Sus scrofa: one gene and its partner. The protein of the gene in region 1 interacts with the protein of each later gene in a biochemical or structural test. Links are inferred from orthologs where the notes say so. Each region holds a gene or a part of one and is shown on either strand. Other genes may lie near its edges. The genes, in order: FGF2 and FGFBP1.

What was found.
Region 2: the proteins of FGF2 (region 1) and FGFBP1 form a complex in vitro, tested with the Homo sapiens proteins (2 studies listed by BioGRID and IntAct, with this or other methods). The link is inferred for Sus scrofa from reciprocal best matches to the Homo sapiens genes FGF2 and FGFBP1.

The regions. Positions count from the first base shown.
Region 1 is NC_010450.4:101,339,068-101,346,918, reverse strand, and holds the start of FGF2 (fibroblast growth factor 2), read left to right. Parts: upstream 1-2,834; coding exon 2,835-2,998; intron 2,999-3,055; coding exon 3,056-3,663; intron 3,664-7,851. UniProt on the Homo sapiens protein: Acts as a ligand for FGFR1, FGFR2, FGFR3 and FGFR4. Also acts as an integrin ligand which is required for FGF2 signaling. Binds to integrin ITGAV:ITGB3.
Region 2 is NC_010450.4:11,185,262-11,193,148, reverse strand, and holds FGFBP1 (fibroblast growth factor-binding protein 1), read left to right. Parts: upstream 1-3,831; 5' UTR 3,832-3,981; intron 3,982-5,691; 5' UTR 5,692-5,711; coding exon 5,712-6,425; 3' UTR 6,426-6,789; downstream 6,790-7,887.

The DNA of each region.
Region 1 (7,851 bases):
AGAATTGTTTTTTTAATTTCATTTTTGGATTGTACTTTGCTAGTGTAAAGAAATGCAACTGATTTTAATATACTGATCTTGTATCCTGCAATCTTGCTGAAATCATTTATTAGCTCTTATAGTTGTATGCATGTGTACATATGTTCTTTAGGATTTTCTATATTTAAGATTGTGTCAGAGTCCCCATCGTGGCTCAGTGGTTAATGAATCCAGCTAGGAAGCATGAGGTTGCAAGTTGGATCCCTAGCCTCGCTCAGTGGGTTAAGGATCCAGTGTTGCCACGAGCTGAGGCATAGGTCGCAGACGCAGCTCGCATCCCGAGTTGCTATGGCTCTGGCGTAGGCTGGTGGCTATAGCTCCGATTAGACCCCTAGCCTGGGAACCTTCATATGCCTTGGGTGCTGCCCTAGAAAAAGACAAAAAAAAAAAAAAAAAAAAAAAAAAAGATTGTGTGTCATCTGCAAATACAGATAGATTTACTTCTACATCTACAATGTGGATACCTTCATTTCACTTCTGGCGTAATTATTCCATTGTAAGACTCCACCCTTACGATCTCATTTAAATTTAATTGCCTCCTGTAAAGGTCCTGTCTCCAAATACAGTCACATTGGAGGTTAGAGCCTCAACAAATGAATCTGAGGGTCACACACTTCATTCCATGACAGTTACCTACAACTTACATGAGTTGTAAAGTTGCTCAAAGATACTGGGACCCCATAGAATCAGCTAATTTAGTTCTACTAAGATAACTCCTATTCCATTGAAGATATTTAGTAATCAATTTTTTCTTTTCGATTTAAGAGTCTTTCACATTTTCCCCTACATTAAAAAAAGTATTTGCTATTCTTATATATTTATCCAAATGAATTTTACATATTGTTAAATAGTTTTAAAAACTGTGCTAAAATTTTGATTATTGTTTAAAAATTTTAAATATGGTTAGAGGAATTTGCCACTGTTATTTTACTGTATGTTTCCATCCAGGAACATTTGAGATTTTTTTTTTTAAGCTCTCATTAAGTCTTTGTACTTTTCATCATTTATATTCCGAACAATTCTTATTAATTCCAAGGTAATTTATCTTGGTATTGTGAGGAAGTTCTCCTTCTGTTATAGTTTCTAAAGCATTATCTAAAGATATCTAAGGTATCTAAAGCATTGAGGAGTAAGTCCTCCTTCTTTTATAGTTTCCAAAGCATTTTCAGTGGAACCTAAAGGTTTTTAAAATTAATGTTTTCAATTCATCATCTTATAGAATTCTACCGTTGATTCTAGTTATTTTTCAAAATTATTTTTTTATTTTCATCCTTATAGTTGGGTGAATTGAGAATGCAAGTAAGTCGATTGCTCCTGGTGCAGCTGAGACCAAAATGATTGTATGGAAGAATATTGTCTGTCTCTCTGTGTCCATACAAGTGTGTGTTGAGAAGGCTGTGGGTAGGAACTTGAGACAACTTTCTTAATGATGTCTTCTTGGAATTAACACTATTTGCCTTGGAGACCTAGATTCCTAGAACTGGCTTAACCATTTCTTGTGATATCCTGACTTTGAAGGAATTAGAAAACAATCAGTTACTGTACATGGGATGCAATTCTACAAGACCGGTGGTCTATTAGCATACAAATTACTTAACTGCTTGTAGCTGTTCCCCAAATTTCTGGATACTACTGTTTAAAAATATTTTGACTTAGCTTTTATCCCTTTGGTCTTGGAACACAGGTTTCTGTGACAGAGTTCAAGACTTACTCAAATCTAACTTGATTTCAAAGTAAGGGGCAACCTGAAGAGTGCTGCAGTAGCTTCAGGCATTCCCTGGGATACCTACAGAGATCATCTGAAAGGGAGCTCTTTGTTATAACAAATTTTCGGTGCAGAGTAAACCTGTCCATTTTGGAGAGAGATGTCAGAGAAGCCGAATTGGCCCAGATTAAGCCTGGTTTTAAAGCTCCAAAGAATTGATGCACACTCTTATTTAACAGCTTAGAAATGCACCTGGAGTTAAACCTCTCTTGGAGACATGAACAAATGCACTCATGGATAATCTTTCAAAAGCAAACATGTTCTTAAACAGAGGAACTTCTGTATTCTCACCTCTTCCTAGAAGCTTTCCCTAGCCCTGACTACCCTCAAGCTGATTTTGTTTGTGTTGTTCATGCTCCCTATTGTCGCCTTCACTGTGCCAGAAGATCCCATGCAATGAGGCTTTTCTCACTGCATTTACTGAAATGCTTTGCACACAGTAGGCGCTCAGTATATGAATTTTATGGACCAGTATTTTCCTTATCTGTAGTACCTGTTATATTCTACTGAAAGTTAGCGAAGTGCAATTAACTTTAATTTTGTAGTTTGGGATTTTCAGAAAACTACCCTCCTTCCAAGAAATGCCTAACAGTTTAGCTAGAAAAAGACATTAACATGCTTCTAACGTGATAAGGATTTGAGACCCATCTTCATCTTTACACGTTGTCTAATTCAAGTTAAGTTAGTAAAAGGAAAACTCTTTCCTTTTAGCAACCCAATCCTCTCCCCTTCTCTGGCCTCTTTCTTTCCTTCTGTTAGTAAACTACTTCAGCCTCTGCCTTCAATTTTAACAATTTGTGCCTTGCGGGTACCCCTCATCTTTCGGTGATTAGAGAGGTTCAAAACCTACTGTGACACACAATCCTCCCTCGCTTCCGATTCCTCTATTTTTTTCCGGGGTGGAAATAGTTTCTCAGCTTTGAAGAGCTGGCAGGGAAAAAGAATGGGGGAGAAAATTGCATTTAAACTTTGAAAAGTTGAGTCACGACTGGTTGCACAGCAAAAGCTCCTCACTGTGGAGAAAGACTAAATGTCGTTTGGGTGGCGCGGGGTTGGGCTGGGGCGCCTTCTGGGGAACCGGCGGGGTCGAGGGCTCTGGAGCTGCGGAGGCCTTGGCTTTGGCCTCCTGCCGCGCCCCCGCATCTCCCCCGCCCGCGACTGCCTTCCAACTCCCTTTGGATGTCGCGCGCTTGCGTGAGGCAGCCGGAGCGGCCGACCCAGAGGCCGGCCCCAGAAAACCGGAGCGAGTAGGGGGCGGCGCGCTGGAAGGGAGGAGGGCCGGGGGCGTGGGGGTTGGTGGGCGTTTGGGGGTGGAGATGTAGAAGATGTGACGCCGCGCGGCTCGGCCGGTGCCAGACCAGCGGACTCAGAGCCCGCAGTTGCAAGCCGATCCCGGGCGCTGCAGTTTGGGGAGGCGGCCCTGCCGAGAGTGGCGGCCGCCGAGAAACCCAGCCCTAACCCGCAGCTCCAGGGCCGGCGGAGAGCGAAGCGGCCAAACAGCACGAGGCTGGGGGCCCGCGGGCGCGGCCGCGTGCCGCGGGGCGGGAGGCTGGGGGGCCGGGGCCGGGGCCGCGCTCCGGAGCGCGTCGGAGGCCGGGGCCGGGGGTCGGCGGCGGCGGCGGCGGCGGCTCCCCGCGCGGCTCCAGGGGCTCGGGGACCCCGGCAGAGCCCTGGTGGGGCCATGGCAGCCGGGAGCATCACCACGCTGCCCGCCCTGCCGGAGGACGGCGGCAGCGGCGCCTTCCCGCCCGGCCACTTCAAGGATCCTAAGCGGTTGTACTGCAAAAACGGAGGCTTCTTCCTGCGCATCCACCCCGACGGCCGAGTGGATGGGGTCCGGGAGAAGAGCGACCCTCACAGTGAGTACTGGCCCGCTGGTCCTCCCCAGCGCGGTCTCCATCTCGCGCGGTTCTCTCGCCTGCCTTCCAGTCCCCGCTCTCCTTCTTTCCACTCCGACCCCAGTGGGACTTGTGGTTTCTCTCCGCGCTGCCCTCGGCGGTTTCAGGTTCACCGCTCGCCCCCTCCTCCCCCGAGCTGCGGTGGCGGGTAGACGCTCCCCTAGGCTTTGGAGTGTGCCGCTTTCCCCTGGTAAACCAGTCCTCTGGGCCCGGAGCCGCAGGGCGCCCCGGCCTTGCCGGCGGCTTGCTGAGCGCTGACAACCTGTCGTATCCGGGATACCCCGCGGCGGAGCGGAGGTGAGCCGCCCGCCAGGTGCCGCCCGCGCCCCCCAGGCTTGAGTTTCGACCCCTTCTCTCTGGGATGCACGCAGTCCACCCCCCACCCCCCGCCCCCGCAAAGCCGACAGCAGCCGTATTAAAAGGGAAAATACCATAAGAGCCGTGTCTTTAAATTCCAATTCGGTAGGATCCGAGGTGGCTGGCACACTGCTCTCGTCCACCCACTTCTGTTTTTTCCTCCGAATTTTCGAAAGCTGAAAGAAAAAAACGAATGGGCTTTGTGCTATAGATTTTCGTTTCAGTTCTAAAAAGAACTGCAAAAACTTTAATTTTCCATTTGCAGTTATTAGGTTTGGGACCTCGAGAGATACTTAACTTGTGAACCCGTTTCCTCTTCCCGAAAGTGGGGATATTATTTACCTTGCATCGGGTTTGAGGATCAAATAAGAATTTATATAAAGTTATATAAAGTGCTCAGAGGATTCAGTTTACTAGTCTACACTTTGGTTTACTGTAAAAAAAAAAAAAAAAGAAAGTGTTTGTGGTTATAGAAATAAGTCTGGCCTGAGTTATTAGTTCTCAAATTTTAGGAGTGCCTTAGAATCACATGGATAGTTTGTTATCAGGCATGGAGGAACCATCTCCCACAGTTTGATTCCTTCGGTCTGGAGTGGGGTCTGATAATTTGCGATCCCTGGTGATGTTGAGGCGGAGCACACTTTGAGACCCACTGGTCTAGAGAAAAGGGAAGAAAAGGGCATAAAATGAGCTGGTTAAAAAACATTGATGAATTTTAAGTGAAAGAAAGAGGATCAGATGTATTTTAACTGTCATCCTGTAAGTGTAGCTGAAACATCTGTTTTAAAAGCTGTTCTGCCTGGCCTTTCTCTATGGGTTTCAGGTGGAAATTTCATCCTCTTTTTGCATTAGACCCACAGGAGTTTACCTTTTGATGCTAATGGTATGTCCTTCACCCTCGAGGGAGGGGTTAGGAAGAGGAGAAAGTTCTGCAGCCAAACCTGAGTTGACAAATTCTAGAATGGGAAATGTCCTTTTGTAAAAGTTGGGTCCTAATTGATTCCGAAACAGCGAAAGATGCAGGTCTGTAATTTTTTTTCAGGTCTGCCATAATTTAAAAATTTTACCAGCTGCTTACCTTATCCAGTAAAAACTGAAAAGATGCTTGTAGCCCAACATATGGGTTAATGCTCTTACTCTTTTTTTTTGTAGCTAAGTAGGTTTCACAAATTATCTTTGGAGTTTGTTCTGCAGTTGGCTGCCAGACTAGCCCAGCTGATTAGGGCAGGGTGCATGCATATATACCAGTTCATTTTGTCTTTTCTAGGAGTTTAAGAAAGACCATGTTGTTGTGAGTAGAAGACAGAACTCTTCTCCAGATCAGATTCATGTTGGGGCTTCCCCTAGTACTCTTTTTTATTTTTTTTCCAGTTATCTTATTAGTTACATTTTTTTCCACTTTGAAGCTTCAATACCCTATTTCCTTTAGAATAAAAGTGTATAGGGACTAGCAAGTGAGGATAATTCTGAACTGCACACCACATTACCATCCTTGTAAAGACAACCATTAACGTTAACTCTCAATTCTGGATTGAGTTGTCATTTTTGTAATCTGATTTTAACCCAGTGGTAATCAAATGGGGTTGATACCTATCCCCATTCCTACTCCCCCCATTTGGCAATGCCTGGAGACATTTTTGGTTATCATACGTGGAAGGGTGCTGCTGGCATATAAGTAGAGGCGGGGATGTTGTTAAACATCCTACAGGACACACAGTACCTCCTGCATCCCTCAGCAAAAAATTTTCTGACCCAGGTGTTAATGGTGCTAAGATTGAGAAACTCTGCCAACTTGATAACCAGCTAAAGAGAAGATGTTAAAAGTGAAGAGTTTATGGAGATGATTGATTTTTTTAAATCACCTTTTACCAGGCAATAGACTGACAGGAATGTAAATCTAAAAATGATGAATTTGGACTACTTTTATGTATCCCAACCTGGACATAAGTTTTAAGTGCAATATTTTTTTCCCGGCATATGGAATGTGTCCTGATGGTTGACCAAACCAAGAGGAAACTTAGGGGAAAGAGATAAGAAAAAAATGAATATGGACATGACATAACAATATACTTTCAACCACATCCTCTCCATTCTTCACAACAAACAAAACTGGTCTGCAAACTTGGAGAAATAAAGCAGAGTTAATGGTTGCTACAACTTCCCACTGAATTAAGGCTAGGTGTCTGGACTGGTTTGAAATGCTGACAAACCTAAGGCCCCATTCCTCAAGCTGTTTTGCTCAATGGACCTGAAAAATCTACCATTTGAGAGTTATTCCTTTGGTGTTAACACCTTCTGTCCAGCTGTTACTAACATGCAAACACAGTCTGTGCCCCATATCCGAGGGTTCCCCATCTGTGTATGGAGATGGAGGGCCCACAGCTATGCCATTTTTCCATGAGGGACTCGAGCCTCCACTACTGTTGGTATCTGCTGGGGATCCTGGAACCAAACCCCCATGGATACCAGGGGAAGACTGTACCTCTGAAGAGTTCAACCATTATTGGATTTTACCACTTGGTGTGAGTTAAGTTGTGTGCAATTTCTTCCCTGAAATCTGACCAGAAGGACTGAAGTTGAGGGAGGGAAGCTTTGAAGATGGCGGCATAAATGTGGGGCACTGGTTAGGTGTGGGGGACTTGGCTCAGGTTGTGAAAAGATGTAGGGCAGGAGGAAAGCGGGAGAAAGGAAAGGGAATGTAAGGTAAGGTGACTGAATCCCAACTACTCAGTATTGCCAAAGATCACCTGTGCTTCTCATGTGGGTTCTTGCTTGAGTTTTCACTTGAAAAGAACTGTTTTCAGAGTTCCTGTTTGGGCTCAGCAGTAACAAACTCAACCAGTATCCATGAAGACATGGATTCTGTCCCTGGCTTTGATCAGTGGGTTAAGGATCTGGAGTTGCCGTGAGCTGTGGTGTAGGTTACAGATGCTGCTTGGATCTGGTGTTGCTGTGGCTGTGGGTTAGGCCAGCAGCTGCAGCTCTGATTTGACCCCTAGCCTGGGAACTTCCATATGCTGTGGGTAAAGCCCTAAAAAGAAAGAAAAGAGGGGGTGGGGGAGGGGAGGAAGGAAGGAAAGAAAGGAAAGAAAAAGGAAGGAAAGAAAGGAAAGAAAAAGAAAAGGCCCATTTTCCTGCCCCTGTTTTGTGATCCTGGAATAACCTTCATTTGACATGAGGTCTTGATAAAAGCAAGGTAAAAACAGAGTCTGCTTCCCCGGTGTGTGTGCCGCACCTTCACCTTCCTTTTGGCATCCTGGTTACTTTGCCAGCCCCCTTCCAAAGGTCCATGGGACTGTGTAACATTAAGTATATGCTCCAAAGTAGTGAACTATGTGGAAACATTCAGAAGAGAGAACATTTTCTCCCAAGTAGCATGTACAACAAGTGGTGGAGTATAGCAAGGGAAAAGTATGCTGCTTGTGTACATTTTAGCATTAAATATATTCCAGATGTTCTTATTTTGGAAAAAATGAAGGTAGTTAGAAGCGCTGGATCTCCTCCTTGGGCTTCTCCCAGAAGGTGACTGCCTGCTTGCCACACTGCTCTGCTTCCAGGCTCCAGACAGAGAATGCTGAGGGGGACCTGTCCACTCCTCTGTGGAGCAGGGATGGGATCCCCATCTGCTTCCTGTCCTCTTTGCTACGGCACAGACTCCATGCAAGCCCCATCATTAAAAACACAAACTTGTGAAATTGAGAGGGAGGCATCAGAACGTTGAGTCCACCAGTCTCATTTGGCAGAAGATATTGAGGTTCAGAAAAGTAATTGAATGCCTGGCTTTACCTGCCG
Region 2 (7,887 bases), about 90 Mb from region 1:
TGGTGGTGCCACTCTAGTGGAGAATTCTGACTGTGTGGGCAGCTGTGTTTCTGAAGGACAGGGGCAATCTGGGAATCTTCTGTACTTTCCACTCAATTTTCCCAGGAACCCAAACCTACTCTTAAAAACAAAGACTATGAATATGTATTTTTAAAAATATTAAATGGCATACCTTTACAAGATACTGAATAGTATTACCTTTACCAAATATTTGCAAAGACAGTTCCCCTGCCCTACAGCTCACCCAAGTTCCCCTATGGTTAACTGTTTGGGTTATGATGCCACATTTATAAAACTGCTGAACCAATATTGCTGTGTGTTTTGCTAAAGTCTGTATTTTGCACCTGTGGTGCAAGCATATCATTTTCCTAAGTATATCGAATTGTGCATTAATGTGTGGACACAGACTTAGCACAAGGCGGGCATGTTGTAAACACTCATTGGGAGTGAATGGTCTCTTTCTCTCCATAAACATCCATGAAAAGGGGGCATGGGGAAAGATCAGGGGACCAATGACAGACACCAGCAGGGAGGAGATGACATTTGAGCTGGATCCTGAAGGAGGAACCCATGTGTGCTGGGGCAAAGGAGGACTGGCAGTGCATTCCACATAAAGGGGACAGCAGGAGCAAAGGCAGGAAGGGGACAAGTCCACCAAGTATTCAGGAAGTGGTGGGTGGGTGACTTAGTGTGGCCAGATTGGAGTGTGTGTGTGTGTGTGTGTGTGTGTGTGTGTGTGTACCCGACTAGAAATGAGTTAGAAATAACAGGCTATGCTAACAGGGAAAGGGTTGCATAGTCTGATCTAAAATCGTCCCCTGTTTGGAAAAGAAAGTTCAGGCAGAAGTTAGGATAAGATCATAGGGAGCCTGAAGTTCCGTGGAAAGCCAATGGGGGAAGTTCCATGTTTTCCCTTCCAGACACTTCTCAGAAAAGATCCTGGAATCCCCATGTTTCCTTCTCAATTTGCTTTGTGTTCTGACCTGCAGTCTTTCTCCAGAAAAAGTCTGGCTGCCCCCTGAGGATCAAGATGATTTTCTCCCTTTGCTGGAGACCACCTTGGTCTATATCTGCTGACAAAGCAGTTTTTGTCTTTCCTGGGTCCAAATAATGCCCCTCCATCCTGATACCACCATGTAAGTGCCTCTTCATGCGGGTCATGGTTCAATAAGGTGGAGGTCAGAACAAAGGGGATGGATCTCAGGGTGAGCATGAGCCAATTTTACAGGAGGCTTGGAGTTTGGGAAAATAGCCTCTTCCTCGAAGGAGGTCATGAAGAATTCCTTTGAACAACTGAGTGAACAAGTCAACCTCGGTCCTCCATAGCTCTGTGACCTTGGAATTCTCAAACAGGTGGAACTTGAATGGAGTCCAACCACGGTTACAATTTTCTGTATCCTTCTTATGGGCCAGGACAATGTTTTAGAAAATTTTCACTTAGATGCCAACCAAATGCCATATACACACATTTGGAAGTTGGGGGGTCTCTTAAAAGTTCATGAAATGTCGTTTCTTTCTTTTCTTTTTTAAGGCTGCACCTGCAGCATATGGAATTTCCCAGGCTAGGGGCTGAATCGGAGCTGCAACTGAGGCCTGTGCCACAGCCATGGCAACACCAGATCTGAGCTGCATCTGCAACTTACGCTGCAGCTTGTGGCAACGCCAGATCCTTAACCCACTGATCGAGGACAGGGATCAAACCCGCATCCTCATGTGGTTCAGCAGGTGAAGAACCCACTATGTCGGGTTCTTCACCTGCTGAACCACAACTCCTGAAATGTCCATTTTTATTTTTTTTAAATGTACGTGTGAAGAAAATTCATTAGGTGTGAAAATATCGAACTCTATGCCAACATGTTTTTGGTCACCTGGCACCGAGTATTGACATCTAGGTATCAGGAACTACCCAGTTTGTCACATGTCCGCCACTCCTTATTGTCGGTTGCCATTTATCATCACTCTTGTGCTATTGTTTTCCTTACAGCTGAGTCAAGAAGAAAATGAAAAATTTCTTGTGCCTGAACGTCGGTGAGAAAAATACAGTCACCCAGTATGGTAAAGACCCCCTCTTTGTGGAAGTGAGTTTTTTAAATAGACTCAATATGAAAACAAACTGTATCTGTTTTTAAAGAATACAACCAAAGGCCATCTTATGAACCAATCTTATCTGCTTCCCCTGATGTTAACAGCTCAGCCTCCTAAATGCTTTAGTATGAAACCCTAAATGAGGTTCTGGTACAGTCAGCTGTCAGTAGATGAACAAATGGAAAGTCAGAGAAGTTATGATCACAGCGAAACAGGAGTCCCCATCACGGCTCAGTGGTTAATGAACCTGACTAGCATCCATGAGGACATGGGTTCGATCTCTAGCCTTGCTCAGTGGGTTAAGGATCCAGAGTTGCTGTAAGTTGTGATGTAGATGGAAGACGTAGCTTGGATCCTGGGTTGCTGTGGCTGTGGTGTAGGCCGGCATCTACAGCCCTGATTCAACCTCTAGCCTGGAAATTTCCATATGCCATGGGTGCAGCCCTAAAAAGAAAAAAAAAAAAAAATCACTCAACAAAAGCTGGGTTCAGCATTCCACTAGGTCATTCTACCAGACTGCCTAGAGAAGGCTGACCTGGGTGAGGCCCCCACCTGTGACTAGAAGGTAAATATTTTCCACAAAAACCCAGATCAGATATTTCCTCCTTTTGGGCCTCTCAGGGCCCAAAGATTCCTCTACACACACAGGACTTTCAGGTGCCTCCGTGAAAACAAGAATTCAGACCCTGAGGTGGTTTCCCCAGCGCAGTCCCTCAGTCACCGAATGTTTATTGAGAGTATCCGGTTAAGAAGAGATCAGACGATGAACCCAGGTCATCTAGGCTTTAAACCCAGGGCCCCTCATCCTCCCAGCCCTGTGATCCTGGACAAGCCCTGAAGACTCCAAGCCCCCATATCCATCTGTAGAGTGGGATGAATTAGAGGTTCGTGTCGGGAGGAGCTATAACCATGTTCTCAAAGGTTTAATTCTTGTCGCAGAAGGAATTCAGAAATGAGACGGAAATGGAGAAAGCAATGTGAGGATTTAAGTGAGAAATACCCCTTTTAAAGAGAAGCAGGCAGAGGGGCGAGCAGCTGCCCTGTGTTTTTCTGATACGCAGGTTATAAGGGGCATCCAGTTGCATGGGTGGGCTATTGACTGGGAAGGTGGGGTTTGGGGGTCTTATTCCTTAATTTTTCATCCCAGCCCCACTTTTCCAAGGGGAGGAGGGATTTTTGTCTTTATTTAGCTTTTATCGGAAGTGTCGTGCCATTGGGGTAAGATAGGTACTTCTTATCTACATAGCTAATTTTATTATGATTTTATTATAATGAGGGCATCATGAGCGACAGGCTACATTCCGATTCGAGCCCTTTTCCACATTTCTTTGTCTGCCTCCAGGGCACTTATTACCCTAAAATGTGTGGTTTCCAATCAGGCTGGAAGTTCCTGCTTTTCTTTGCCCATGGACCCTGCCATTTGCAAGACGTGTGATTTCCTGCCATCTGGCCCCGTGCCCCACTTCTCTGCTCATGCCTAACTATCTGCCTGCTGGAACCATGAGAATGAAGGGAGAGTTTGTGACATGGGCTATTGTTTCTAACTTCCCCCACGGATTTGGCTGCTGGGTCCTTATCCCGAGGCAGAGGGTCTCGGCAAGGCCAGGCTGTCCTCCCCAAGTGGCTGCAGGGGGGCATGGAAAGGGTTGGAAGAAGCTGGTCTAGACCATGGCTCGTCCTGCAGGATTACACCAACAACTTTCCCTGCAGGAACTGGCTCCTTCTGAAGGGGCGTGGCTGGGAGCCGTGTGCATAAAACTCACATGTGTGAGTTGTAAAATCTTCGGTGCTTATATAAAGGTCCGTCCCTGCCTCACCTCGTGGGTAAGGCAGCTGGAAGCCTACGGGTTCACTCTCACATCTGGGACCGCACGGGATCTGCCAGCTCAGAAAGAGGTAAGAGCCTGGCTCTCTTCCCTTTCATGACCTGCCCCCGAGGAATGAGGGGGTCTTTATCTGATAAACTAGCTCCTACCCCAACCTTCATTTTGGGAGCTTGCATTTTGTGACTGTCTTCCCTTTATTCATCCTTGAGGGAGGCCATATGCCCAGGGCGGAACCTCTTTTTAAACAAAAATCTCTGTTTTTTAAAATGGAGCACTGAGGAGTTCCCGTTGTGGCTCAACAAGTGAGGGACCCCACGTTTTTTTCTGGTGTTTGATTCCTGGCCTCACTCAGTGGGTTAAGGATCTGGCATTGGTGCAGGCTGTGCAGTAAGCTGCAGCTTCAACTCTGATTCAACCTCTGACCTGGGAACTTCCATATGCCGCAGGCGTGGCTGTAAAAAGAAAAAAAAAAAAATTAAAATGGAGCCCTGATAATAATGATGATCTTATCATCGGAAACTAAGCCAAGCCAAATCTTGAGTGGTTCATCATGGCTTCTTTCTTTCTTGTCAATAGTTTCTGAAAGGCAGAGCAAGGGGAAGGCAAGAGGCTTTCAGAGAGGGGCAGAGAAGTCCTGGCTGCCTGTCCCCACTTTGTTACTTGCTCGCTATTGAATATTGAACAATTTCATTTGCCAGTCTGAATCTTCGCAGTCATAGCTGTTACCTGGTGGTGAATTACCTCCCAGGCAGGGTTCTGGTGCAGATTTACAAAGGTGAGAAAAGAAAACATGGGCCCAGTGCTCAGCACACAGTAGGTAGCAAAGAGAAGTGCTAATTCTTTCCAGTGTGGCTTTTGTTGCCCACCTGATAAAATCTATGCAGTTTAGTGTAGCAGTTAAGGTCATCCAATTTACTCAATGATTTGTTTTTAAAAGCATTGATTGAGGGCTTTCTCTATGCCCAACCCAGTGAAGGCACTCCCAAATTCACCCCAATTCACTCTGGTTCACTTTGCGGAATCAAATTGCCTGACCTCCCCTCCTCATGCCTTTCCTGAGGCTCTTACTGGAGCCCAAATGCACCTCCTCACAAACCCACCCACCCATCTCAGACTGTCCAAACCTCAGACATGTTTGACCTTGGGTCAAACACCACCATTCATGTCACTTACGATGTCCTTTCTCATGGCGTGGTCATCTGAGTCCATGTAGAGCAGTGAGATGGAAATGCAGCCACTGGGGCTGGAAGAGAGTTGATATGAGCGTCTTTCAACATCTTGATTTCCAGATAAAGGAGCTGAGACCCAGAGGGGGAGAGTGACTTGCCCAAGATCAAACTGGGGACACAGTTGGGACAGACTCCTAGTTAATGCTATTTAGATTTCCCTAAAGAGTTGCCTCTAAGTTTTTCAGATGGGAGACTTTCTTATTCACCTTGAAAAATTCAACCTCGAGTCTAGCACCTGCCTACTAGTAGGGGTTCCATAAAGGCTTCTTGAATGATGACTGACAGGTGACCAAATGCAGGAGTAACTGAGACAGGAGAGGAGGGAGTGAGAGTTAATGGGGTTCAGAGGGTGATGAGGAACAAATGAGAAGTAGGAGGTTTCTGACACTCATGACTCAAGTCAAGCAAAAACGCAAATAGACTGCTTGGCTATTAATTCCAGGAACTAGATAGTTCCTTGATCTCATTGCTAAGCAGGCAGGCCCGTGTCAGTGTAGAGGGAGGGTCATCCTGCAGCCCAGCCCTGACTCACCTTGTCTTTTGTCAAACAGGTTCCCACCAAGCCGAAGCCATGAGGATCCATGGCCTCACCCTGCTCTTCTTCCTCCTTCTGGCTGCTCCCATGCTCTTGGTGGAGGCCAAAAAGGAAGGAAAGAATAGACGTGGCCACAAAGCCAGTGCAGATAAATCGCACGCTCTTGACAATCCCCAGGTTGAGCTGAAAAGCCAGCTGCCCAAGCACCTGCCCAAAGGCAATTTCATCACCCAAGACCAAGCCGACTGCAGATGGGAGGTGACCGAGCATCAGGAGGGCATTGCCCTGAAGGTCGAGTGCACCCGAGAGGACAGCAGGTTTTCCTGTGTCTTCACTGGCAATCCAACCTCTTGCCTGGAGTCGAACAAGAAGAATGTCTATTGGAAACAAATTGGCAGGAACCTGCGCTCTCAGAAAATGATCTGTGGCGACTCCAAGAGTGTCCTGAAGACCAGGGTGTGCAGAAAGAAGTTTCCAGAATCCAATCTCAAGCTGGTGAACTCCACTCTGATTAGGATCAAGAAACCCAGCCAGGAGTTAATGAAGCCCTCTCTCAGGGGGCAGAGCAAGGTCAAAGACACCACCCCCTCCAGTCCAGCACAGACCCAGACCATGGCCATCAAAGATCCCGAGTGTGTGGATGACCCAGACATGGTCCACCAGAGAAAGACGGCCTTGGACTATTGTGGAGAGTCCTGGAGCTCTTTCTGCAAATTCTTCATCGCCATGGTTCAGGGCAGTTCCTGCTAACGAGGTCAAGAGAGAACGGAGTCCATTCGAAGGTGTCAGGTCGCAGCCCTTCCACATGCTGTAAAGATCTCCCGGATCCCTGTTAAAAGGAACATTTGCGCTATGGGAGTGCAGTGGATTATTTAAACAGATTTTGTAATTTTTGTTTTTGTGGTTTTGGCATTTGTTTTCTATTCATTTCCTTAGCTGTGATTGTCAGAGGCTGTTGACCTCTGTCTTTATGTTTTCATGGCCCACAAAGCTACGTTTCTCTGAGCAGTAAGTACCCATCTTGGAGCTGAATGAGTCAGAGGGATGATTTCAGCGCAATGACTTCCTGCTCAAAGAACAAAGACAATAAAGCTCTATGCGTTTTTCAGAAATATGTTGTGTTCAACTGTTGTTTGGCTTCTCTGTGTCTAATTTCAGTGAATGACTAAACAGGAATATATATATATATATATATCAGTGGGAAAAATACCCTGTTTGCCCCCCATCCCAAGTCAGCCTATAGGTGACCTGTTCTGGAATCCCACTCCTCATCCTTTTGTGCTTTGGTCTGTGATGCTTCCTGAACTGATTTGATGCTTCCTGAATTGATGTCAGGTGGGATACTGGAAGCAAAATGGGATAAAGACAATGGTTAGGGGCTCACAGATGGTAAGAGGGGAGGCAGGATTTGAACCCAGTCCACAGGCTGAAGGAATACCTTCCACTGATTCAAACCAGGGATGCCCGTTGCCACATGTGGGACTCAGACCTTGAGGAGCTCATTTCCGGACTCGGGGAGAGGGGCTTGGGTAAGTACAGGGCTTGTGATGAAGACTCCATCACAAGCGGGAAAGGCAGGGGGGAAAACTAGAGAGAAGAGGCAGAAACTTCTGGAAGATGTCAGGTTGAGTTTCACACAAGAGCTGCTATTGGAGCTGAATTTTTGGAGTAGGAAATAGGGCAGAATTGAAATTGGGCACCTTAGGCAGAGGACAGATCCTAAAAGATGGGAGAGATCACATGGGTGGAAGGTGGTGGGATGTTGTTAGTCATTTACATGTTAGTCTGAAAAAGCCAAAAGGGTTTGAATCGAAGGTTTGGGGAGAGAGGAAGGTGTAGCCCCAATGTCATGTCCCAATTCCACAAAGGACAAAAAGTGAGAGCAGATGTGGGTTAAAATATTGCTCTTTGGAGTCTTTCTCGAGTGGGTGGCAGGAAGCGATGGCAGATGAGGGGGAAAGGGGTCTCCTACAGTCACCAGCCTACCAGGACCTACACTGAGGTTGTCAGTGGCCAACCCAGAGTGTGACAGCCTCAGAGTGTGTTTGGATATCATCATCCATCCTCGACACTAATATTTCTCTCTCACTCACTATGCACCAGGCACTGCACTAAGCTCTTTCCATGCAATTTGCATGTTTTCATTCATTTACTCACTCACTGAGCACATAATTTATTGAGCGATGAGTCTGCTGAAGAGACAGCCATGCAC